2 linked regions of the Callithrix jacchus genome follow. The protein of the gene in region 2 binds, or shares a complex with, the protein of the main gene of each other region. Links are inferred from orthologs where the notes say so. Each region holds a gene or a part of one and is shown on either strand. Other genes may lie near its edges.

Region 1 (3,702 bases), on a different chromosome or scaffold from region 2:
GTGGCGCGCCGCGCTTCTCTACTACACCATCCACCGTGCCGCGCGCATGTCCTTCCGCCAGCTCTTCCAGGACCTAGCGCGCTACGTGCAGGACGCCAACGTGCGCTGGGAGTACTGCGTGCGCGCCAAGCGCGGCCAGACAGACACCTCGCTTCCGGGTGGGCGCCAGCGTAGGGGAGGTGCCTAGGGTGGGGTGGGTCTAGAGGTAGGGCCTCGGGCGAGTGGCCAGGCTCACCGACTTCCCGCGCTCCCAGGTTGTTTCAGCAAGGACCAGGTGTACCTAGACGGCATCGTGCGCATTCTGCGACATCGCCAGACCATTGATTTCCCGCTGCTGACCTCACTGGGCAAGGTGAGGGATTGGACCTTGAGAGCCTCAGCCAGCTCCCTGCTTTGCCATAGTATACCCTGAGCCTCAGATTGGTGCTGGACTGAGGGTTGGGTGTCAGGCCTCTGCTGGCGGGGGAAGCGTGGGTGGAAGTGAGAACAGGAGATGAAATGACTCTGACAGCTAAAATCATATGCCTAATGGAGGCTGCAGGTGTGTTTAGAAACTGCATCTCAAAGGAGGTGAACATTCTAGGCCAAGGGAGCAATCAGGAAGGCCAGGGGAAGGAGGCTGCAGAAAAGGACATTGACCAACTCCCTGGTACTGGCGCACTGGCATTTGTGCCAGGCCAAGGAATGTAGACCTCATCTGAAGCAACAGGGAGTGGGAGGAGCTTTTTTTTTTTTTTTAATTTTTATTTATTTATTTTTTTGAGACGGAGTTTCTCTGTTGTTACCCAGACTGGAGTGCAATGGCACGATCTCGGCTCACTGCAACCTCCGACTTCTGGGTTCAAGCAATTCTCCTGCCTCAGCCTCCCGAGTAGCTGGGACTACAGGCATACACCACCATGCCCAGCTAATTTTTTTGTATTTTTACTAGAGACGGGGTTTCACCTTGTTGACCAGGATGGTCTCCATCTCTTGACCTCGTGATCCACCCGCCTTGGCCTCCCAAAGTGCTGGGATTATAGGCGTGAGCCACCGCGCCCGGCGGGAGGCGCTTTAAGCAGAGGAGTGGCACTGATAATTTGCTTTAGAAGGTGCCCTCTGGATGTTTTATGGGAGGTGGATTGGAGAGAGGCCTAGGGAAGGGAGGGAAAGGGCATGAGGAGGAGGCCTTTCCTGTCACTCCTGCAGAAGGGATGGTGGTCTGGCATAACCAGGCAGTGGCCATGGGGTTTGAGAGGAAGGGACTAGCTGGAGGACTCTTCAGAGAGGGGAATCCTTTTAACTCAGTGGCTTCCCTGATGGGAGGGTGAGAGTCCAAGCCCCCTCCCTGGAATCTGACCTGGGTGACTGTGAAGAGGGTGGAGCTAGCATAAGCTGGCACCCAGGAGTTGACCGTTGGATATGGGGCCAGTCTGAGGGCTATCCAGGGGAAGACGTTAAGGAGGCAGTTGGATGCCCATGTTTGGAGGTGAGGGGAGAGGCTGGGCTGGAGAGAGGAGTGGGGTCGTAGGAGATCTCTGACAGAAACTATTAAGAGAAAAAGCAAAGACCCAGGATTGAGCCTAGAATGTTGTAGTACAAAACGTTGTAGCTGCTTGTGGATCAGGAGGGGAGAGGAAGGAGTCGCGGACCAAAGGGCAATAAGCTGTAAGCAGTGGGCTGGGACCGGCCACCTGAAAGTCAGGGGCTACTGCCTATGCCTGATGCCCAGCTTCCTCCTGCAGGTGTCCTATGAGGATGTGGACCACCTGCGGCCCCATGGGGTGCTGGATAATACCCGGGTGCCCCACTTCATGCAGGACTTAGCACGCTACCGGCAGCAGCTGGAGCACATCATGGCCACCAACCGGCTGGATGAGGCAGAGCTGGGTCGTCTGCTGCCAGAGTGATGTCAGTTGAGGGCTGCAGGCAGAGGCCCTGGACAGAAGCTCCAGATAGGCCCCCAGAACATGAAGCTGTTTGCTCTGTGCTTCCTGGGTGTTTCTTGGGGGTGTTGAGAGGGCGGGAGCATTCCGTGAGGAGCGTCAATATCAGAGGGTTTGTGTCCATTGCTAGCCTTCTTGGGGCCTGGGGACATGTAGCAGCATGTCTGGCAAATTGAGTTGCCCTCCTCCTTCCAGCTCTCTGTTGAACAGAGGGAAGGCATGGGGGCAGGAACGGAGCTGAGCATTAATGGGGATGGGTTTGTTTGGGAATAGAAACTTGTTCTTGCATGAGATGGCTTTGGGTGGCTGGGTACTCCAGTGTCTCCCTTACCCCACCTGGCCCCTCGGTGCTCCTTCAGCATTTGTGCTGTCTACCTCTCACTGGGTCCTGGTGGGGGTTGGGATCCCTTCTCCTGGGGTGATTGATGGCCTGAGCCTGGGGTCAGTAGAGACCCAGCTGGTCTGGGGTATTCTTTACAACACTTTGCCTCTCTCACTGATTATGTATTTATTCCATATTTATGTGCTCTATTTCCTATGGCTGGGAGCAGCAGCTCCTGAAGATTCCATGGGGAGAACAGGATACTCCTTCCTGGAAGGCACCGATTTTCCCAGCCCCACTCACATTACACACACACACACACACACACACACACACACACACACACACACAGTGATTCAGGCCTTGTGAGTCAAGCCCAAAAGTTCCCTTGGCCCTGTCCCCACCCCTCCACTGGCCTCTGCTGTTCCTGTCTTTGCCCACACTCTCACAGCTGGTTTCTGGCAGAGGTTAGCACAGCCTAGGAGCAGCTACAATTGCGTCTGAGGGACAGGCCCCTAGAGTTTGGTGGCCCAAGTCCTGAACCCCTCCTAGACCAGGTGAGGTGCATAGGTGTTGCTGCTTCCAGTTTCCCTTCAGACTTAGCTGTGTGAACCCCACTCCTACCCTCTGGCCTTAGTTTTCCCATCTGTAAAACTCAGAAACGCAGTTGGAAAGTCCTTATTCATTTAGTCAGCAAATATAATATGTGTACAGTGTCTTTTGTGTAAGTTACTAGTCAGAATCCTCACTGAGCTCCCAGTCCAGAGGGAAGCCAGACAATTAAAACAGTAATGACAATGATATGATGTCTGTGGCCTCTGTCTACTCCCCTCTTTCTGCTCCCCTCTTCTAGTCTCACTTCTCAAGTCTGTGAGCTCTAAGCCCTCCCTACATGGAGAGAAGTCCCCCTCCACTTGCTACATGTTAAACCCAGGGACTTGCATGGGGTTGAGCTGGTACCTACACAGGCTGCCAAGTGACTCATTAGGGAAAATGGGTTGTGTATGTGGGCATGAGGGTCAGGTCCTTGTCCCAATAGGGCACTGGGTCTGAGGTCTCCAGGGTGCAGCCTGGGCTCCTAGGGGCAGATTAGGACTGGGTGGTGATTGTGGTGGGCTTGGGGCTGCCCAGGTCACTGAGACTCAGGGGCACCCACCCTCAGTTCCTGGGCAAACAGCCAGAATCATGGAGAGAGCCCAGGACCTGGCTGACCCTCGGGAGTTTCTTTACTTCTAGCGGTACTGGGCTGGACCGAGCCTTGGTGGCATCTGATCCAGCTCCGGCAGCATCCCAGGTCCTATCCAGCATGGGCGGTGCACAGCCGGTCAGTGCTCTGGCCTTCAGGAATCTAGAGATGACCGGGACAGTTGTCAAGGAGGTGGGGCCCGCCATCCGCTCCCCAGGCGATACCCTCCCGCAAAACCAGCTCAGGGTTTCGGTGGCCTCACACCTTCG
Region 2 (4,605 bases):
AAATAGCTTTTATCCAGAGCTGACAGCAAAATGGAGTTCAGCAGGGTGGTTCCCTAACATTCGTTCTTCCAGTTAAAGCAAACTAATTATTTTCAGACTCCTTTTAAGAAAAAGTAACAATGGGGGTGGTCCAATGGGAGTGGGTTATCAGAACTTATTAACATTAGTGTCACTAAAATTGGTATACAACCCCCCACTTCTAAATTTAACTGGCTTAATTTTTTTTTTAAAGAATAAGAGGAAAAAATAAGTGAGAACTGAATATTGAATTGAATATTCAATATTCAAACATTCCAGCCTTCTCTACTCAGCTGGAAAAATGTGTGCAAATTTGGATTTTTGAATTAAATGCCTTTAATAAGACTATCAAAAATATTTACCAGAAATAAACAAGAACCTCCTGGTTTGCAGGTCAAGTTCAGATGGGTGGACACACACACACACACATACACACACATAACTCATTACAAAATACACACTTATTAACCACATAAATTTATTTGTCTGAAATGAAGGATGAAGGCTTTACCAAATCTTAATAGGCTAATAACTGAAGATGAACTATGAATTTCTAGTGTTTTAGGTTTTACCTTTTTGTTTCCTATATACTGGGCAGATATTTTGAATAGTAACATCAATAGGTTTCTGCTAGGACCATTTTAAAGCCACATTTTAAACCTAACCACCTTCTTCTGCATTTCCAAGGATTAGCAATGTGGTTTATGGTCTTGAAATAGATTTTCAAGGGGCGGGGCGGAGGGAGAACTAGTCTACTATAACGTAGGCCTCCAAGCGCTAAGCTATAACCAACTGATGTATCTTGACATAAGGCCAAGCAGTCTTATTTACAAAACTCTAAGTTGCACAAGGAATCCCTACTTCCTAACATCCTTCAGTGTCCATTTATTTCCTCCCTATCCAAGTTTTTTCTCACTTCCTTAACTCGGCTATCACCTCTGAAATGTGTTTTTAAATCTCCTTTTCAAAAAGCCCCTAGGACTGTTCCATAAAGTTGATGGCTTCGATCCAAAATTCGGGCCTACTCTGCCCTTTTAACAGCTTCAATGTTAAATGCTCGGGCACTGTTCTTCGAATGACTGAAATATTATTTGCCTCCAGCGTTTGGTACCCTAACTTTCGAGAACAAGTCATTACAGTAAACCAAGTACACCTACTCGGTTTTCTAAAGCTCGTGTTTTTCACATTATCAGGTAAGCACAGAACGAACTGAGAAAATAAAAAGGCAAAACTCACAAACAGTGGCAACATGAAATTAATCAGCTGAGCTATCCGAACCACAAGTTTCTGCATTTCACGGTGCCTCATCTTTCAAATTGTATGGCTCTCCCAAGTCCTAGGCTTCCTGCGAATTAAGGCAAGCCTCCTCGCCCATTCCGCGATCGGTGTCTTTCCGACTCGCGCCCGCCCCCCCGCCAGGCCCTCGCAGCCATGCGCCGCACACTGCAGCACTGGCGCGCGCGGCCCGCAGGCGCGGCGGACCCCGCCCCGCGGCCACGCGAGGGGAGGGGGCTCGGGGCTGGAGCCCGCCTTTGCGGCGGCCAGGCCTGGCGCCGAGTGGGCGCGCCGGGCCGGAGGAGGGGCTCCCGGCCGCGGCACCGCCTGTGCCCGCCCGCCCCTCCGCAGCCACTACTTAAGAGGCTCCAGCGCTCGCCCCGCCCCAGTGCGTTACTTACCTCGACTCTTAGCTTGTCGGGGACGGTAACCGGGACCCGGTGTCTCCTCCTGTCGCCTTCGCCTCCTAATCCCTAGCCACTATGGTGAGTGGGCCGCGCGGCTGCCGGCCGCTTTCAGGGCAGCAGGGATACGCGAGTCGGCGGGGTGTGGGGGAGCCTGTATACAGCGGGGGAAGGCTGGCCCCAGAGCCGTCCGTTTGAAGGGCGGCAAGCGGGACGAGATGCCAGATCCGGAGTCGTGAGACCTCGGTCTTTGTAAATGGCGGGGGCCCGGAAAGGTTGAGGGGCGCCAGGATTTCTTCTCAGACTCTGGAAGGGATGGGAGGGCTCAGCCCTCCGCCTTATCCGGAGCTCTCTTTTAGCGCGTAACTCTGTCCTGGGCGCGGCACCTCGAGTCCCAGCAGTCCTTTACAGCGCATGCCCTTCCCCCGCCTTGGGTGGACGCGCGCGCCGACTCTTCTAGCCCTCACTTCCTCTTGATCGCGAAAAGCGGGGGTGGGAAGGCGCTGGAGACAAAAGCGCGCACGCGCGACCGTTACCTTCCCGCCGCTGCAGGGCGGGAAACCACCACTGCGGTCTGCGCATGCGCGCTGGTGGCGGCGCGACTACGGCTTCAGGGCGTGTCTCTTGTTGACCTGAGGGTTTTTTTTTTAAATGGAAGCAGTAAGAGGGGCCGGGCGGGGTGGATCACCTGAGGTCAGGAGTTTGAGATCAGCTTGGCCAACATGGTGAAGCCCTGTCTCCACTAAAAATGCAAAAATTGGCCGGACTTGGTAGTGCACGCCTTGTAGTCCCAGCTACTCGGAAGGCTGAGGCAGGCGAATCGCTTGAACCTGGGAGGTGGAAGTTGCAGTGAGCAGAGGTCGTGCCACTGCAATCCAGCCTGGGCGACAGAGCCAGACTCCATCTCAAAAAATAAAAATTAAAAAATGCAATAAGAGGAATGTGAGGAAGTGTACCGCACTACACCAGTGTATTAGGACACTTAGTTCACAACAGCCTTTAGAGGCCACCTGTCTCTCCCTGCTGCGTTGGGAATTCTGGGGAGCAGGTGGTGCCAGTGAGGGATTTTGAGGGAACGGAAATCGGATCTTGGTTCAGATCTGGGCCGCCGATAATCCCCTACTGCGCTCAGACTGCTGTGGAGGTGTTAGGCTGAGCTCGATGCCGGCAGGCAAGGGAGGATGGGCAGCCTGGGCAGCGCCTTTGCAGACGTGGCCATTTCGTGCCTCTGCAGCGCCCCCGGGGGGCGCGGGAGCGCGCGCCCTGAATTGCTCATTCATCCTGTGCCGCATAGCCCCACCCCTTGTCCCTGCGGACAGACATTTCTGCGCTGGTCTGGCCACGTGCTTTTCCTGTGCTAGGAGCTGCCCGGAAATGTGGCCACTCAATCTAAAGTGGGATTCTGGGGCCGGAGCGCTGGATGGATGCCCACCCTCCTGTCTTGGTCCTCCAAAGGAGGAAGCTGTGACTAAGCTGTCGTGATCTGGAAGAAGGCCTTCCCCGTTTATTAATGGGAAGGTAACATGCGTTAAAAGCGATATAGACCCTATAATGTAGCTGTTCTCAAAAGAGTAATACATCTTATGTCGCTTTAAAAAAGAAAAAAAAATTTTTTTAAGATTATGTGATAGCCTGGGTAACATAACCAGACTCATCTCCTCCAAAAAAGAAAAAATAAGCCAGCCGTGGTGGCCTGTGCCTGTGGTCCCAGCTGCCCTGGAGGCTGGAGTAGGGGGATGACTTGAGCTCAGGAGGTTGAGGCTGCGATGAACCTGGACGGCACCACTGCACTCAAACCTAAGCAACAGAACTTATCACTAAAAATAAAGATTGCATGGGGGATGACTTGAGCTCAGGAGGTTGAGGCTGCGATGAACCGGCACCACTGCACTCAAACCTAAGCAACAGAACTTATCACTAAAAATAAAGATTGCATGAGTATTTTGTTTCACTTGACAGTCACCAACAGATTAAGTTGTGATGTATTTTTTTCTCCCACAGCGTGAGTGCATCTCCATCCACGTTGGCCAGGCTGGTGTCCAGATTGGCAATGCCTGCTGGGAGCTCTACTGCCTGGAACATGGCATCCAGCCCGATGGCCAGATGCCAAGTGACAAGACCATTGGGGGAGGAGATGACTCCTTCAACACCTTCTTCAGTGAGACGGGTGCTGGCAAGCACGTGCCCCGGGCAGTGTTTGTAGACCTGGAACCCACGGTCATTGGTGAGTTGGCCTCGGTAACCCAAGTGAGATCCCAGGGTGCTGGGACAGGAGGTCTGTCCTGGGGGATCTGCTGGTTACTCGCTCACTCACCCAGTCCTTCTGTCCTCCTGTCCCTCCTCCAGATGAAGTTCGCACTGGCACCTACCGCCAGCTCTTCCACCCTGAACAGCTCATCACAGGCAAGGAAGATGCTGCCAATAACTATGCCCGAGGGCACTACACCATCGGCAAGGAGATCATTGACCTCGTGTTGGACCGAATTCGTAAACTGGTATGTTTCAAGAATAAAGTAAATTAATCTGCCTTAAAAGGACATTTGAAATAATGCTGTTTTGTTGGGGATTTTTTTTGTTTTTTGAGACTGAGTTTCGCTCTTGTTACCCAGGCCAGAGTGCAATGGGGCGATCTCGGCTCACTGCAACCTCCGCCTCCTGGGTTCAGGCAATTCTCCTGCCTCAGCCTCCTGAGTAGCTGGGATTACAGGCACGTGCCACCGTGCCCAGATAATTTTTTGTATTTTTAGTAGAGACAGGGTTTCACCATGTTGACCAGGATGGTCTTGATCTCTTGACCTCGTGATCTACCCGCCTCGGCCTCCCAAAGTGCTGGGATTACAGGCATGAGCCACCCCGCCCGGCCATAATGCTGTTTGTTCTTTTTTTTAAACACAGAATTGAACTGTTA

What was found.
Region 1: the proteins of tubulin alpha-1B chain (region 2) and MATCAP1 are in contact, whole or in part, in a cryo-EM structure (PDB 7Z6S), measured with the Homo sapiens proteins. The link is inferred for Callithrix jacchus from reciprocal best matches to the Homo sapiens genes TUBA1B and MATCAP1. Residues at the interface, in NP_006073.2 of Homo sapiens: Asp345, Trp346, Arg422, Glu423, Ala426, Ala427, Glu429, Lys430, Asp431, Glu433, Glu434, Val435, Gly436, Val437, Asp438, Ser439, Val440, Glu441; in NP_001035805.1 of Homo sapiens: Lys219, Cys220, Trp223, Val226, Arg227, Gly237, Glu238, Val239, Val240, Val241, Gln242, Leu243, Met253, Met254, Val255, Glu256, Asn257, Ser258, Arg259, Pro260, Thr261.

What each region holds. Positions count from the first base shown.
Region 1 is NC_133521.1:24,684,957-24,688,658, reverse strand, and holds the end of MATCAP1 (microtubule-associated tyrosine carboxypeptidase 1), read left to right. Parts: coding exon 1-158; intron 159-254; coding exon 255-352; intron 353-1,724; coding exon 1,725-1,889; 3' UTR 1,890-3,048; downstream 3,049-3,702. Other genes in the region: NOL3 (nucleolar protein 3), read right to left, coding at 3,588-3,595, 3,698-3,702. UniProt on the Homo sapiens protein: Tyrosine carboxypeptidase that removes the C-terminal tyrosine residue of alpha-tubulin, thereby regulating microtubule dynamics and function. Also able to remove the C-terminal phenylalanine residue of alpha-tubulin TUBA8.
Region 2 is NC_133510.1:70,423,568-70,428,172, forward strand, and holds the start of tubulin alpha-1B chain, read left to right. Parts: upstream 1-1,680; 5' UTR 1,681-1,775; coding exon 1,776-1,778; exon of another isoform or gene 1,779-2,185; intron 2,186-3,698; coding exon 3,699-3,921; intron 3,922-4,043; coding exon 4,044-4,192; intron 4,193-4,605. UniProt on the Homo sapiens protein: Tubulin is the major constituent of microtubules, protein filaments consisting of alpha- and beta-tubulin heterodimers. Microtubules grow by the addition of GTP-tubulin dimers to the microtubule end, where a stabilizing cap forms.